Caenorhabditis elegans: one gene and its partners. The protein of the gene in region 1 purifies or fractionates together with the protein of each later gene. This does not show direct contact. Each region holds a gene or a part of one and is shown on either strand. Other genes may lie near its edges.

The links.
Region 2: the proteins of snr-3 (region 1) and prp-9 fractionate together in Caenorhabditis elegans (co-fractionation; one large-scale study listed by BioGRID). This does not show direct contact.
Region 3: the proteins of snr-3 (region 1) and rsp-6 fractionate together in Caenorhabditis elegans (co-fractionation; one large-scale study listed by BioGRID). This does not show direct contact.
Region 4: the proteins of snr-3 (region 1) and hel-1 fractionate together in Caenorhabditis elegans (co-fractionation; one large-scale study listed by BioGRID). This does not show direct contact.

Annotation. Positions count from the first base shown.
Region 1 is NC_003280.10:6,488,331-6,491,696, forward strand, and holds snr-3 (putative small nuclear ribonucleoprotein Sm D1), read right to left. Parts: upstream 1,432-3,366; 5' UTR 1,424-1,431; coding exon 1,345-1,423; intron 1,131-1,344; coding exon 1,026-1,130; intron 981-1,025; coding exon 879-980; intron 832-878; coding exon 737-831; 3' UTR 501-736; downstream 1-500. Other genes in the region: plpp-1.2 (Phosphatidic acid phosphatase type 2/haloperoxidase domain-containing protein), read left to right, coding at 1-106, 157-256, 302-420; rsp-5 (putative splicing factor, arginine/serine-rich 5), read left to right, coding at 1,839-2,026, 2,078-2,329, 2,657-2,735, 2,781-2,888. UniProt on the Caenorhabditis elegans protein: Plays a role in pre-mRNA splicing as a core component of the spliceosomal U1, U2, U4 and U5 small nuclear ribonucleoproteins (snRNPs), the building blocks of the spliceosome.
Region 2 is NC_003280.10:8,522,968-8,527,258, reverse strand, and holds prp-9 (Matrin-type domain-containing protein), read left to right. Parts: upstream 1-1,862; 5' UTR 1,863-1,864; coding exon 1,865-2,008; intron 2,009-2,057; coding exon 2,058-2,216; intron 2,217-2,283; coding exon 2,284-2,810; intron 2,811-2,861; coding exon 2,862-3,123; intron 3,124-3,182; coding exon 3,183-3,368; intron 3,369-3,413; coding exon 3,414-3,638; 3' UTR 3,639-3,765; downstream 3,766-4,291. Other genes in the region: gldi-7 (Sodium/potassium-transporting ATPase subunit beta-1-interacting protein), read left to right, coding at 1-349; mrps-18B (28S ribosomal protein S18-2, mitochondrial), read right to left, coding at 571-954, 1,016-1,096, 1,140-1,198, 1,298-1,391, 1,472-1,570; cht-2 (GH18 domain-containing protein), read right to left, coding at 3,822-3,991, 4,038-4,291.
Region 3 is NC_003282.8:7,789,341-7,793,153, reverse strand, and holds rsp-6 (putative splicing factor, arginine/serine-rich 6), read left to right. Parts: upstream 1-1,924; 5' UTR 1,925-1,925; coding exon 1,926-1,979; intron 1,980-2,032; coding exon 2,033-2,163; intron 2,164-2,209; coding exon 2,210-2,317; exon of another isoform or gene 2,318-2,756; coding exon 2,757-2,909; intron 2,910-2,956; coding exon 2,957-3,050; 3' UTR 3,051-3,307; downstream 3,308-3,813. Other genes in the region: Nucleoside-triphosphatase ntp-1, read left to right, coding at 32-421, 470-730; C33H5.13 (CYSTM domain-containing protein), read left to right, coding at 962-1,000, 1,045-1,163, 1,220-1,340; imp-3 (IntraMembrane Protease (IMPAS) family), read left to right, coding at 3,665-3,813. UniProt on the Caenorhabditis elegans protein: Plays a functionally redundant role in shifting germ cell sexual differentiation in hermaprodites. Required for the development of somatic gonad structures and for progression from larval stage to adulthood.
Region 4 is NC_003280.10:8,326,352-8,330,651, reverse strand, and holds hel-1 (Spliceosome RNA helicase DDX39B homolog), read left to right. Parts: upstream 1-1,781; 5' UTR 1,782-1,782; coding exon 1,783-2,109; intron 2,110-2,152; coding exon 2,153-2,429; intron 2,430-2,475; coding exon 2,476-2,594; exon of another isoform or gene 2,595-2,719; intron 2,720-2,765; exon of another isoform or gene 2,766-2,956; coding exon 2,957-3,491; intron 3,492-3,537; coding exon 3,538-3,557; 3' UTR 3,558-3,800; downstream 3,801-4,300. Other genes in the region: C26D10.4 (GHMP kinase N-terminal domain-containing protein), read right to left, coding at 1-44, 575-774, 821-884; C26D10.3 (Pyridine nucleotide-disulfide oxidoreductase domain-containing protein 1), read right to left, coding at 1,062-1,248, 1,296-1,360, 3,820-3,954, 4,003-4,212, 4,260-4,300.

The DNA of each region.
Region 1 (3,366 bases):
TATGATTGGACTTGGAATTAGCTTCTCCAGAATCACTGATAATAAGCATCATTGGAGCGATGTTCTTGTCGGAATTTTCATTGGAATATTCTTGGCTGTTTACACTGTAATATTATTATGAGTGTTTGGGAACTTTCGCATTTTTTCTGCTTTCAGTGTACCTTCTGGACAGATTTGTTCTCAAACAATTCAACTGAATCTGAAACACAACCTCTTCTGCTTCCTCGACCACCCCGTACTCCCAGAAACTCTGAAGGTTGGTCCATCGTAAATTTTAACTCAATTACATATTTTTTTCCAGATGAGGAGCGACATCGATTGGATGCAGTTTTACCTTCTACGGATAGTTCTATTGTTTTTGAAGCTACTGGACCGCAGGACTCGGATACAATTTTGTTGCCGGTTCCGCAAAGTGCATAATGCAATTTTCTTGTTTTTATTCGAATTTTTTGTTTTAAATATAAATAATTTTTGCCCTTATGTTGTTGCTCTTAATGCTTGAATTGAAGAAATTTATAGAGATCAGAACGTAACAACAAAATAAAGTACAGTTGTTCTCACGGGCTGCGAAACTTGGGAAATTTGTGTTGACTCGGAAAGCCGTAATAAATTATTTCAAAAGATTTAAACAAAAGTCAGCAACTTTAACGGGAACAAAATGTGAATTAAACTTGAGGAACGTGATACAAAAGTATAGGACGTTCGATACTCAAATTTGCTATGACCCGATGATAGCTTAACGACGTGGACCGCCTCCGCGTGGTCCTCCGCGTCCGCGACCACGACCTCCTCTTCCTCCGCGCATTCCACCACGACCACGTCCACGTGAAGCTGAAATAAAAATATTAATAATCTGTCGAAAAGACGCTTAAAGCTACCTCCGGCGCGAGCGGCACGGGCCTTCTTTCTTGGTTCATCGTCGATTAAAAGGGTGTCAAGAGCGAGTGGATCCGGCAAAATGATGTATCTGATGTTGTTACCTGAAAATCTTAAATTATATTTATTCAAATATGATTTTTAATAACCTCTGATTGAAAGCGTGTCGAGTTTGACTGGCTCCTTGTTCTTAACTGTCATTGAGACGGCACGAAGATGTGTGTTCATCGCAACATCGACTCCCATGATAGTGCCTAAATAAAATCGATTTAGTTGTTTAGTTACGTTTTTGCAGTAATTAAAATTATACAATATTATTCGGATTTATGACTTTGAAAATGTATCCTAATATAAAAACACTATAACAAATGTCGAGCAATTCGTGAAAGATTGATTTTGGTTGGTTAATAACTCAACTTCTCGATTAAAACACTTTCAAGCAGACAATTAATCTTAAAAAATACTCACCGGACACCTGAGTACCGTTCTTCAATTCAATATTGACGGTCTCGTGAGACAACTTCATCAGGAATCTGACCAACTTCATTTTTCTACCTGAAATACATACAATTATAGAAGAATAAAAGGAAACGATGGAATTCAATAGAAAATACGACGATAAAAATAACTTTTAACTGATAAGAAAGAGGTTATGACAAATAAAAACATCTGCATCAAGGAAAAATGTTTCAAAACAGATTTCCAGTGACTGGAATCCAGTCATTTTGAGCACATTCGAAAATGCAAAAGACTTGGCGGCATGCCAAGTGGTCTCGCAACGACTAGGAGTACGGTCGCACTCGTTTTCATGTGTGCGCTTTTGATAGAATTTCTTTTTCTTGACTTAGGACTTTCTCTTCTTAAAATTGAGATTGATTTCTCGAATTCATGTGTTTTTTTTACTGGGCTTAATGAACGGCGTTTAATAAATTAATTTTTGAATATAAAGTGATTTTCCAGAAATGCCGCGCCTCTATCTAGGAAAAATTCCATACAATGCACGCGAACGCGACGTTGAGCGATTCTTAAAAGGATATGGCAAAATTAATAACATCTCAATGAAGTATGGATTTGCCTTTGTCGATTTTGAAGATTCTCGTGATGCTGAAGACGCATGCCATGATTTGGATGGAAAAACCATGGAAGGAAGGTAATAAAATAATAAACCAAAATTAAAAATGTTCTAACTTTTTATTTTCAGCTCTATGCGCCTTGTCGTGGAAATGGCTCGCGGAAAACCACGCGGCAATGACCGTCATGGATCGAGATCACCACGACGACGTTCCCGCTCTCCTAGACGTCGTTCACGTACTCCACCAAGAAGACGTTCCCGCTCTCGTGATCGCAAACGTTCTCGCAGATCCCGTTCCAGAAGCTCCTCCAGATCCAGATCACCAGTTCGTGAAAGTCGTCGCAGAAGCGAATCCCGTTCGCCGAGCCCGAAAAGAGACTTGTAAGTTAACTTTAATGTGTGGATTGTTTTGGAAGGGTGCCACATCACGAACCGTTTTAGCCACAGTTCAATGAGAAATCAATATCACCTACAAGCCCACATCGCAATGGCATACACATAGCTGAGACAGTTCGAGCACAGTATGGGTCAACTATCAATACATTTCAATTCACTTCTCGTTCAGTCCCCACAGTTACCAAAAGCCGCTGTTTCGATTAAAAGAGTGAGATCCCTAACTTTGAATCAGACAACTTCGCGCAAACATATCGGTTTCGTATTCGAGTCCTTTAGATTCCGACTCTATTAAATGCAAGAATTATATTTTAGGAAGCGTGAAGCGTCGAGATCTCGTTCACCACTGCCAGCAAAAGATCGAAGCAGAACCCGAAGTGGATCTCCCCCAAAGGTAATTCATTTATGTGCTTGTATAGTAAAAATCATATGGTTTCAGAACGGCGGAGATAGAAAGCGCAGCGTGAGCCGTGGAAGAAGTCACAGCCGAGATGGCAGCAATCGCAGTGTGTCTCGCTCTCCGTCTCCAGGATCTCCAAAGGATTAAAATTGTGTTTTTATACCGTTTACTGTTGTTCATTTACCACTTCTATTTTATAATATTTGTTCATCCTCAGAGCTGTTCTGATTTTAATAATTCCCGAATAAAACCGAGCGGAGACTTCCTTCATTTTTTAAAAATATTTAAAGGCACATGGTATTATTCACACAGGTCTCACCACGATTACTTCAACTACTGTACAATATTGGGGAATTTGAAGGTCGAACGCAATTTTGGGCTAATTTACTGCTTTGTTATTTTTACTGTTCTGGAAATTGCCGTTGTACTTTTTATAGTCATTATTATTAGAAAAAACCTTTTACGAGATTTTCGAGCTAATTTTTATACTCATATATTGAAATAGAACGCAAATTTTCGAGTTTTCTAAACAAAAAGCTTATCGTTTTCTATTCTCTAAATTGAAAAGAGTTGCAAACTAGGACAAAAACCGAAAAAAAGGCGAATTTTGAAAGCCTGCGAGTGA
Region 2 (4,291 bases), 2.0 Mb from region 1:
GTTTGCTCCGATGCTCAACTCTCCAGCCCCATCTTCTACAACTTCTGGATCTTCTTCTAGAACATCTGGAGCTTCGTTGGCACACAAAACTCACATTGTTGGGAAAGGTGGAATTTCGTTATCAACTGTTGATCCATCCCCGATTCTTTCTCCAGGAATACGGTTATCGGAGCAACTAGGAGCCAAGAATCAGTCTTATAAAAGTGCATTCAGGGTCCAGAAAACTGAAAATGCTCGTGTTATAAGTCACTATCACGCTCCCAACGAAATTCCACTTTCCAGTGATCCATCGGTTGTTGAGAATGAATCTAACTATCCCGTGATGACTAGTGGTGGACTTCTTGTTTAATTTTGACTCAAATCTCATGTCTTGCCGTCTTTTTCTAGGCACTATATACGGGTTTATTCTTTCTTTTTTGTATTCTTTCTGCTTTTTTTAAAATAAATGTTTAAATAATTGAGCTCAATTTTTATTAGAACCAACAACAAGTGATAACAAATTACGATAGAGACCTACTAAAATTCGAAGAAAATTGCTGAAAACCGAACACGCTAGGAAAATTAAAACAATTACTTTGCCTTCTTGGCAAATTTATCATGACGAATCCACCATTCGTCCCAGTCGTTGTTCTTGTCATTTTTGAATGTTGGGAAGTGAACAAGTGGATCTGGATGAATATCTTGCAGACGTACACCAGCTCTCTCAACAGGCTTTCCAGGTTCATCTGTCCAGCTTTTGTACCATTGACGATAATCAAAGTTTCGGAATTCTACTCCAAATGTGATTGTTCCATGTTCTTTTGCTTTCAGAAGTTGTGCACGAAGTAGCGTGTACTGTTCACGACATAGTCCACTCTTCAGGATATCGATTGGTTGGTCGGTGCCATCTGCCAAAAATTGTTCAATGAGACCTGGGTTTCGGTAGTCGAAGTATAGATATTCGTCACGGCACACCTGTAATTCGTGAATTTGTTTGTTATATCTGCAAATGTTAGTTGCTGTTACAAAAACTTACTGGACAAGCATGATTTAGATTGAATCGGCCGTGTTTATCAATGCAGAAAAGTCTTGGAGGTGGTTGAAGTTTCGATTGACCCTGAATTTTCAATCAATTTATTTATTTTTCGAATTCAAATTACCTTGATGTTTCTCTTATACCATCTGTAAATCGGAAGTCCTTTGTAAGCCTCTGCGTATCCTGAAATATATTAAATAATTTAATTTTTAATTGGCATTCATGAAAGCTGTACACAAAGAATTCCTCTTATTTTGTTTTTGAAACTAAATTGAATATTACCTCGACTTTTCATATAGGAAATCTGCTCGGCAATACTGTGTTGTGGTTTGTACATTCCCTTCTTTCGTTCAACATGATTGTAAGCGTATCCGGCCTGAATATATCGATTTTTAAGTAAAATTGTTTATAAATTTAACATAGAAATTAGTTTAGTTCAAATATATTATCAGTTACCTCTTCTGGAGTCGGAACTTCTTTAGTTTTTCCTTCGCAAGCCAATCGGCAGGAAGAATGAATCAGCCTTCGTGCGAATGATCCCCCAGTGGCTAACATACCTGAAATACTGACTTAGACAACTTTTAAACAATTTAATTATATTTAAAAAGTACAAGCTTATAGCTTTAAATTACAATTAAAAACTTAAAAATAAAATAATATACTTTGTGCGTCAAGTTAAATGCGGTGTACGCAAGGAATGTGTGTTCACCGTCACGTCAAGTTGCACATTTTCGAACATCTTATTTTTCTCAAATTTTTATTCTTCTGTCTTGTTTAATCTTTTTTATGAATAGTTATTCACTAATTTAATATTTTTTAAATGTTTAGTTGTAAGAAAACTTTACAGAAATGGATTCGTGTCTAGAAACCATCAGAAACTTGCACGAGGAACGGGAACGATTAATCGATATAACTGTTAAGGAAAAAATTGCAGAAAAGTTAACGCATAAGGCCAAAGTTAATAGCGAACAGCGAGTGAAAACATTTGTCGATGTAAGAAATAACTGTTATGTTATTTCAATTCAATATTATTATTTTTCAGAGGTACTATTCAGTTTCCGCCGAGCTTGCCAAATTTTATAAAGATGAAGACGGTTCGAAGAGCATGGAAATGGATTCAGTTTCTGGTCCAAATGAGTTCGCCGAATTTTATTCAAGACTGAAGGTCATCAAAGATGCGCACAGAAGAAATCCAGACGAGGTTAGTTTTGTTATTTTCCCCGGAAACAATTAAGTTTGGTTGTAATATAATTTCTATACATTTTCAGCTTGCCGAACCACTCACCGTGGAGTTCCAAAAAATCAATGAAGAAATCATCAACCCTGAAAGAGCCGAGCCAGATATGGTTGAATTCAGTGATGAAGAAGCTTACGGTCGTTTTCTAGATCTTCATGCACAATACGACAAATTCATTAACTTGAAGAACATCAAAAGGGTTGATTACATGACGTATTTGTTGAATTTTGAGAAATTCACAGAGATACCGAAAAATACTACCAAGAAGACAGGAGCATATAAAGAATACATCAATTCCTTAAAAGACTATCTTGTTTCTTTCATGCAACGAACTCGCCCACTCCATGATCTCGATTCAGTTTTCTCTGAGGTTAATCAAACTGTAGAAAGAGCATTTAAAGCAGGGAATCTTCCTGGTTGGGAAGCTGATAAAAACAAGAACGGACCTCAAGCAGCTGCTGTGGATTTATCTCCATACAATAGTGCTGAAGAACTCGAGGGATTGGGATTGGAACGTTTGAAAGGAGCTCTCATGGCAATTGGTCTGAAATGTGGAGGGTGAGTTAAAAATATTTGGATTTTTTAATTGTAGTCCTCGTTATTTTTCAGAACTCTGAAAGAACGCGCTGATCGTCTTTTCGCTACCAAAGGGCATAAACTGTCAGATCTCGAAAAAGCAGCAATGTCTTCAAATAATTCCGATGCCGAAAAGCAGAACGCTAAAAATTTGACATTGGCACAAACGGAAGCTCATATTATGGCACTTGCTGATATTCTAGCTGAAGAACGTACTGGAACTCGCGAAAATGTCGAGAGAAAACAAGCTAGATCTGCTGGAGAGGTCGAAGAAGAGGAGGAGGAGGAAATTGTGGTAGGTTTGAATTATTTTCTCTAGTTATTTTTAGAAACATTTAAAAATTCATTTTTTAGATCGAGGAAGAGGAAGAAATTGATGAGAGTGCACCATATAATCCAAAAAATCTACCGCTTGGTTGGGATGGAAAGCCAATTCCGTATTGGTTGTACAAACTTCACGGCCTCAATCTATCATATTCATGTGAAATCTGTGGAAATCAAACTTACAAAGGTCCAAAGGCGTTCCAAAAGCATTTCAACGTAAGTTCATTATATTGGTCTCGTTCAAAAACTTGATATTTGCAGGAGTGGCGACATTCTCATGGAATGAGATGTCTTGGAATTCCGAATACCTCTCATTTCGCCAACATTACGAAGATCAAAGATGCACTGGATTTATGGAATAAATTGAAAACCGAAAAGGAGATGGCTAAATGGAATCCGGACATCGATGAGGAGTACGAGGACTCCAGCGGAAATGTGGTCACCAGGAAGATGTATGAGGATTTGAAAAGACAAGGACTTCTGTAGACGCTATTTTATGTATTCCATTGTTCTTCTAAGTTATTTTTTTTCCTTTTTAATCTTACATTTCTGTAAGTTTTTAACCAATTGGTCTCATTTTTCAAATTTAATGGATAAACTTTTTTGTAATTTTAGTACAATTGAAATAATTTATCGGTATATACAGTTTCAGATAAGTAGTGAGAAAGTTTAATACTCAAATGCAGGATTTGCCTTGAAATCAGCACATCCTAAACAGCTACAATATTGTTCTCCTTTTCCGCAATAGCCACTATTACTGCAACAGTAGGATTCAGAATCCGGATCACATTTTGGAATTTTTCCAGTAGAAAGTCGTGGAGCATTGTAACCACAACGACCTGAAGATATATTCTTATAAGTTGAATTGAGGGCCTGTTCCCTCACCAACGTTGGCTGGATTCTCAGAAAATGTCCACCATTCTAATGGTTTATATTTGAAATCTCTCTGTTTTGCAAAATCAATACATCCATTACATTCACAATGTTCCTTTGAATTTCCACAGTAACCTCCATTACTACAACAATGAGCATTAGCATCATCTGGATTACAAGTTGGCGCTTCTCCTTCTAAAGGTGGAACATCTCGACCACATCGTCCACGTTTCCCTTCTCCAGCATCCGATGTGTACCATGTGATC
Region 3 (3,813 bases), on another chromosome or scaffold:
ACTATTTTTTCAAATTTATTCAAATTTACAGGGTACCGGAGAATGGGACGTTTGTCTTGCACAAGTATCATCTTTAATCGGTGATAAAGCTCAACCTTCTTGTCCAAACCCAACATGTTTCCTACGTAACGTGATTGCTCCATCAGTTAACCTATCAACTGTTCAATTGTATGGCTTCTCAGAATACTGGTATACGACAAGCAATTTCGGATCTGGTGGCGAATATCATTATCAAAAATTTACGGACGAAGTTCGAAAATACTGCCAAAAAGATTGGAATGATATTCAAGATGGATTCAAAAGAAATGAATTTCCCAACGCTGACATTGAACGACTTGGAACAAACTGTTTCAAAGCTGCTTGGGTGACCAGTGTACTTCATGACGGTTTTAATGTGGATAAAACCAAGCATTTGTTTCAGGTATGAATTTTTAAAGACACATCTTACATTCAAGATAAATATTTTCAGAGTGTTCTGAAAATAGCCGGTGAAGAAATGCAATGGGCTCTAGGAGCAATGCTTTATCACTCAAAGGATCTCAAATTCAACCTACTAGAACAACTTGAAGTTGCGCAATCTACCCAACAAATATCAAATTTCTTCTCATTTTTTGTCATTCTTATCATTGTACTGGCAGTTGCTTTATATCGCCAACTTCAATCTGAATCTACGTACAAAAAATATAATTTTCTGCGAACCGATTCTAAACCGGATTTTCTAAATGTGTAGAGCATGATTTAACTTATAACAATTATAATTTATCATTATTTTCATGTCAAATGCAATAAAAAGGTGTGACTGGTCTTTTACTTTATATTCAACCCGATTAAAATGATAACTAAGTTTCGTCACTTCACTTCTAGATGAATCAGCGAAAGGCAAATAAGGAAAAGGAGTATTTTATAAACTCGTCGTCTTTGAATCGTCATTCTCTTATCACTATATTTTCAGTATTTGACAATGAGCGGCGCACCACCACCACCGCCACCTTACAATCAAGTGAGTTCGATCTTTGAAAAAAACTAAACCGAAAATGATTCAAGGCTTATAACGCATATCCACAACCTCCACAAGGTGTCTACACAGTACAACCCGGTGTTCCCATCGGACAAGGCGTTCAACCAGCATATGCAGTATATTATCAACAGCCTCAAACTGTCATGTGAGTTCTATTCGATATTTCGCGAAAAATTAATAATATTGACTTATTTCTTTCAGAGTTGACGACTGCCATCACCATCATCATCATCGTGAACGGGAGCACGGGGGAGGAGGAGGCGAAATGTGTTGCTTAGCTGGTTTAATGGCTTGTCTATGTTTTTTGTGTTTGAGCAAATAATTTTAATTTGATAATCTGGTTCATAAATTTGCAATTGATATATAAAAATCAATTGAAACTTTGACTGGTTTTGCTATTTCTACTTAGAAATAAATTCAGCACAATTCTACTTTCACATTTGTATGTATATTTTCAGAAGATAGTTATCATTTCGGTTTTTTTATAAAACATATTTTAGTGGAAACATGCAACAAGGCATGCTTTAAAAAATTAAGTGTAAATGTGATGCATTCGAGTTTACTTTTTATTGCACAATTTCTGTATTAATACATGTATCCGTTATACAGTGCAACAAATTCGGCTTATTTATAAAATGCATTTATCAAAAAGATTAATTGCAACTGAAATTTTCGTTCGAATTCGCGCCGTTATCTCACCCCGACATTAGGAAATCTGCACAGCTGAAACAAGTGTTACCGTACTACACGCATCGCGAGCAGCTGCGTCGCGTTTATTGAAATCATTTCGCGCGCGTTGCTCTCGAGCTATCTCCGTTTCACACTTATTTTTGTTTCTCAATAATTATTTTTTGAATATTCAAACTTCGTTCTTTTGCAACTTCATAAATTAATTTGATTTTTCAGTATGGACGCCAAGGTGTACGTCGGCGGTCTGCCGAGTGATGCAACATCACAAGAAGTGAGTTCAATCTTGAGCCATTAACAGTAATTATGTAAATATACATTTTTCAGCTCGAAGAGATTTTTGATCGATTTGGAAGGATCCGTAAGGTTTGGGTAGCTCGTCGCCCTCCTGGATTTGCGTTCGTGGAATACGACGACGTTCGTGACGCTGAAGATGCTGTCCGCGCTCTTGACGGATCGTAAGTTGTTTGCTTTGGATATTCGTTTAATGCTTCAAAATTATAGAAGAATCTGTGGTGTCCGTGCTCGTGTTGAACTTTCAACTGGACAAAGACGTGGCGGTGGCGGTCGTGGTGGAGGTTTCGGCGGCCGAGGTGGTGGCGGAAGAGACAGGTTAGTTGAAAATAATTTGATAGTTAAAGGAAAAGAGAGCTGTATTAAAAATTTTATTCGGTAAAACCGTGGACCAAATTTTTAATTTTAGCGGACTCCGCTCGTCCGCGTCCCCATCTGCCATCCCAAACATCACTATCTTCCACTCCTCTCCGTCTTCTGTCTTCACGACACATTCTTCTCTTCCACATCGCTACGCGCCCTTTACTTCTCCCAAAATCATCGCACCAGAATTGTTTTTGACTCTTTTCATCAGTTAATTCTCCGCAGTAGTTCCTGAATCGAGCTTCTGACAAAATCGTCTCATCATGCCTTCGTCGGCTGAATCTTCCCATTCAGTAAGAAAGTTACATCTACCTTTCTTTATGCTGCCATCTGCAGGAAAGATGTATTCGACAAATATGCAATATTCGGAATGTTTTAACATTGTTTATTTCAGATCGCCATACCGAGGAGACCGTGGACGTTCCCGTTCACGCTCTCGTGATCGTGGACGTGATCGCAGCCGCGACAGAAGCCGTGATCGCAGTCGTGACCGAAGCAGAGATCGCAGTCGTGAACGCAGTCGCGAAAGAGAACGTACTCGTTCAAGGTAAGAGTTTTGGATATAGTTATTTAAATTTAAATGAGAAATTTCAGATCTCGATCTCCTCAAGAACGTGATCGTTCTCACTCGAAGAGTCGCTCCCGCTCTCGAAGCCGTTCTCGCAGCCGTTCTGCTTCTCCGCACTAAATTGTGGAAGATCCAAGACCATACAGTATCTTCTCCACAACATCAATTTGCAACCCTAATTCCTCCGAAGAATCTCGAATCAATGATTTAAAAAAGTTTTCACTAAATTTAATTTCTTTGTTGTTTAACCGAATTTTACCATTATTACCTTTCACTGTTCTGTCTTTTTTTATTTTGTTCCTCTTTTTGTAACCTAAAATCGTGAACTTTCATCCATTTTATAAACTGTTGTCGGAAAATAAAAGTAATATTTCGGTAATTTGTGAACGGGGAAATCCAGGGAGACCTTATTTTGTGCGACTTTTTGCTCTGTGAGAGCGTTTTCGAATGTGTAAACAACTGCTTGGAGAACTAGAGAGCAGCACGTGTTTGTGGTGCTCTTTAAAAATGTTGGTCACCGGCCAGCAGTAGAAGATTGATTTTCCCACACATTCTTTATTTCTCTTTATGTGTCGTCCCACCGGCAGCAACGCACGTTTCTTTTTTGTTTCGTATGGCAAAGGATAAACAGGTCTTTATATAGTACGGTTCTACTTGATTTCTCTTCGTCTCTTGCCATTTTTGTTTTCGTATCGTCTCACAGTTAGCACGTGCTATTCCCAGAAAGAAAAAGTATGTGTACTGATTCAAAAAAAGCTCAGGATTCGCCACCAAAAATGCGAGACGACGTGGCAAAGATTGCCGCATCGGCGAGCATTTTAATTCTTTCATGGATTGTACTTTATCACTCCTGTCGAAGGGCATCTACAATTTACTTTTTCGA
Region 4 (4,300 bases), 1.8 Mb from region 1:
ATTGTTGAATTGTCTTTTGCGTTTTGAAGTGTTCGGGGATCGCTCTGAAAACTGCCAACAACAGTAACCCCTGCGACATATCTATAGATAGTTGAGTGTTCATATAATCCCAGTTTAAATAAACCTAAAGTAACGAAAAAGCATAATAAAACATTCTAAAAAAGTTTTTTCAGACAACGTTTTGACAAATTCCCAAATTTTCAAATGTATTGGCTTTTTGAATAATCTTGAGCATTGATGCAGGTTTTAACCCAGAAGTGTTCTAAAACATGTTTAAAACATACAGTTGAAACGCAATAAATATTAAGCTCGTAGAAATTATTATTTTTTGGTCGGCATCCAAAATTGTGAATGGCGAAAACTCTATTATCATCACTTTTTGACTAAAAATGGAAAATTTCAACACGTTTTAAGATGTTTTACTACACGCCACCGTAAATATTGAAACTTGAGACAAAAAATGTATTTATGCCTATTTCATTGTACAATTATAATTACAGCTATTTCTCAATGTCCAAGAAATTAATTATAATTTTTATTCTACTATTTTATCGAAATAATAAAAAGTACTCACCACCAAAACAATTAACACGTTCACGTCTTGCAAGACGGATTCTGTGAGTACTGTCAAATTATTCCTGTAGCATAGCCTTTCAGCAGTTCTTATTAATGCATTCAATGCACTTCCACAAGATCCTATATCTTCTGATGCATCATTTACTACAAGTATTTCTTCGCAATTCGGAAAGGCGATATTTTGGAAATGTCGTATATCTATAATACGAGTGTGTCTGTAGTTTATATCGTATGAAAATTGAACCTGAATCAATACTACTTGGCTCTATATTGAACCCTAATGAAAATGTGACAATGTCCCAACGCATTTGATAGAGAAAAAGAGTGTAAGAGAGCAAGGAGAATACGACTAGCACTGGTGTATTCCACGTGGTAAAGAGATGGAGACGCAGAAAATGTATAGATGTGAAAAAGATAGTAGAAAACTGGTTTAATATTATTCAAACACAACAAAATGTATAAACATCATACAGTATAATAATAATCTAATCAAAATAATCATCGAGATCAACTCCCGGCTCCAAGAATGTTTCTGAAATGCCTTCTAGATCTGTTTTGTTGAGAATCAGATTTTCGAGTGTCTCCTCCATGTCAGTTTCGCCAATTAGAAGGGCACCGACAATCTTATTTTTGACGACTACACATCGAACGAGTTGATCGTTATCGGCGTCTCTGAATATTAGAGCATGTTTCATTGTAATCTAAAAAGTGTACAGTACCTCAATACAATCTTCCATTCTCCTTCCACCTGTCTCTCTGGTTTGTAGTCTCCAAGAAACACCACCTGAAAGAACATTTGTTTTTCTATGATTCTTTGCACACATCTATCTTTCGGATCGTTTCGCTACTAATATTGTCTTGTGCACTGGACAGCTGTTTACAGCCACATTCCCCCTCTCGTATTTGAACACCCGCCCATTGCTAATTACTTCGCTGCGAGACCATACGAAGCGACGCGTTGCGTGTGCGTCGCGCGTCGAAAATATTCGAATGGGTATCGTTTCGCGGTTTATTCTTCATGAGGAGCAACCGCTCTGCATTTTCCTGTTTTGATCTGTTTTTGTGAGGTTATTTACTAAATTTCTTTTGATTGTTCTATTTGTGACTTTCTCTAATAGGTTAAACACTATTCTCTATTTTCTTCGTGAAATTAGGATTAATCTCAAGCCCCTTTTTATGAAGACCTTTATTTTTTTTTGTTTCAGAATGGAAGAGGAACAACTTCTTGACTACGAAGAGGAGCAGGAGGAGATCCAAGACAAGCAGCCAGAAGTTGGCGGAGGCGATGCCAGAAAAACTAAAGGAACGTATGCTTCTATTCATTCTTCCGGATTTCGTGACTTCCTCTTGAAGCCAGAAATTCTTCGTGCCATCGGAGACTGCGGTTTCGAACATCCATCGGAAGTACAACATGAGTGCATTCCTCAAGCCATTCTTGGAATGGACGTTGTCTGCCAAGCGAAGTCCGGTATGGGTAAAACCGCTGTTTTTGTAATCACCACTCTTCAACAACTGGAGCCAGTGGATGGCGAGGTAAACAGTAATACATCAAATTTCAATAAATCATTGTTTTCAGGTATCTGTTGTTTGCATGTGCCACACTCGCGAGTTGGCATTCCAAATTTCCAAGGAGTATGAGAGATTTAGCAAATATCTCCCAGGAGTCAAGGTAGCTGTCTTTTTCGGTGGAATGGCCATCAAGAAAGATGAGGAACGCCTTGCCAATGACTGTCCACACATTGTTGTTGGAACTCCAGGAAGAATGTTGGCTCTGGCTCGTTCTGGCAAGCTGAAGCTTGACAAAGTCAAGTACTTCGTCCTGGACGAGTGCGACAAGATGATCGGAGATGCTGGTAAGAAATACTTGTAAATATAGGAATCATTATTGAACTTTTTCAGATATGCGTCGGGATGTTCAAGAAATCGTCAAGATGACTCCACAACAGAAGCAAGTGATGATGTTCTCCGCCACATTGCCAAAGGAGCTTCGCACTGTTTGCAAGCGATTCATGCAAGACGTACGCTTTATCTCTGATCCGGAACCTACGGAACCGCTGTTCACTTTTTTGAAACAAAAAACATGTATCAAACCAAAATGCTAGTCATGTGTGTTCCGTGATGCGAAAGAGATGGCCAGAACTTGGTTGGTCGTTAATTCCGAAGTCGCTTTTTGATTTCTCGGATTTCAGATCTCATCTTGTTAAGCCTCTCGCCACGCAGAAGCCATCGTCCTCGGGGGAGGTAGCTGGCTCGCCTCAGCGAAGCTGATTGCTAATAGGTCGAAAGACTTGTCGGGAACACGTGACATGTACTGCAAAACACGTTCCAGCCCCCGATTCATCACCGTGCTGCCGTTCTAGACCTTAAAACATTTTTTCAGCCAATGGAAGTCTACGTCGACGACGAAGCCAAGCTCACTCTGCACGGACTTCAGCAACATTACGTCAAACTGAAGGAAGCCGAGAAGAACCGTCGTTTGCTGAATCTTCTCGATGCACTCGAGTTCAACCAAGTCGTCATTTTCGTCAAGGCCGTAAAACGTTGCGAAGCTCTCCACCAGCTCCTCACAGAACAAAATTTCCCATCAATTGCCATTCATCGTCAAATGGCTCAAGAAGAGCGACTTTCAAGATACCAAGCATTCAAAGACTTCCAAAAGAGAATCTTGGTGGCCACCGATTTGTTTGGACGTGGAATGGATATCGAAAGAGTCAACATCGTGTTCAACTACGACATGCCAGAAGATTCCGACTCGTATCTTCACAGAGTTGCACGTGCTGGTCGTTTTGGAACCAAGGGTTTGGCCATCACTTTCGTTTCTGATGAGAATGACGCCAAGACCTTGAACAGCGTTCAAGACCGCTTCGATATCAGCATCACTGAGCTCCCAGAAAAGATCGATGTCTCTACCTACAGTGAGTTTATATATACCAACGCCCATTCAAAAATTCTTATTTTCAGTCGAAGGCCGAACCAATTGATTCCATGTACCCTCCTATGCATTCAACTAAATATGAGTTCCACCTTCGTTTTACCCGGCATTGTGCTGATGGAGTAAAATGCCTATTGTTTCCCCTAAATTATCGACCTCTGTTTCTTGTGGTCTCATTTACCAATTTTCGTTATCGTTAACAGTTTCCAACTACACGCAAAAAAATTTGACTGTATTATTTATTTTTCTTTTTTCATGAGTGTTTGGAAATAAAATTCGACAATTACCATGCAAATTGTTATTTATCTCACCTTTAACCCGAAAAAAGTCGTACAATGCGAGAACAGTTCGAAATACATATTCTGCATACGAGCCTCTTCGACGCCTGCCACCATCGCTCTTCCACACACTTCTCCTTGCTGACGTGCTTGTGTCCACAATTGTCTCTTAAAATATTTCAACTTTATTTAACACTCAATCTATGGTTATAAAACTTGTTGCCAAAGAGTTGATGGTTCTGTGGTAGTCAGTGCACAAACATCTCCACATGCAAAAACATTAGGAAGTGAGGTTTCGCAAGCGTCGTTGACTTTAATTCCACTATTTTCAGTGATTTGGAGCATTTTATTCATAGCCCAGACTTCTGAGTTGGCAGTTACACCTCCTGCCCAAATAAAAATATCTGGATTGAGCTGGTTATCTGCCTTAATAAAATAACTAGGCTTAATGGTACGATAACTTAAAATGATACCATCTTTTCTTTATCCATGTAATGTACCGACAAATTTTGGG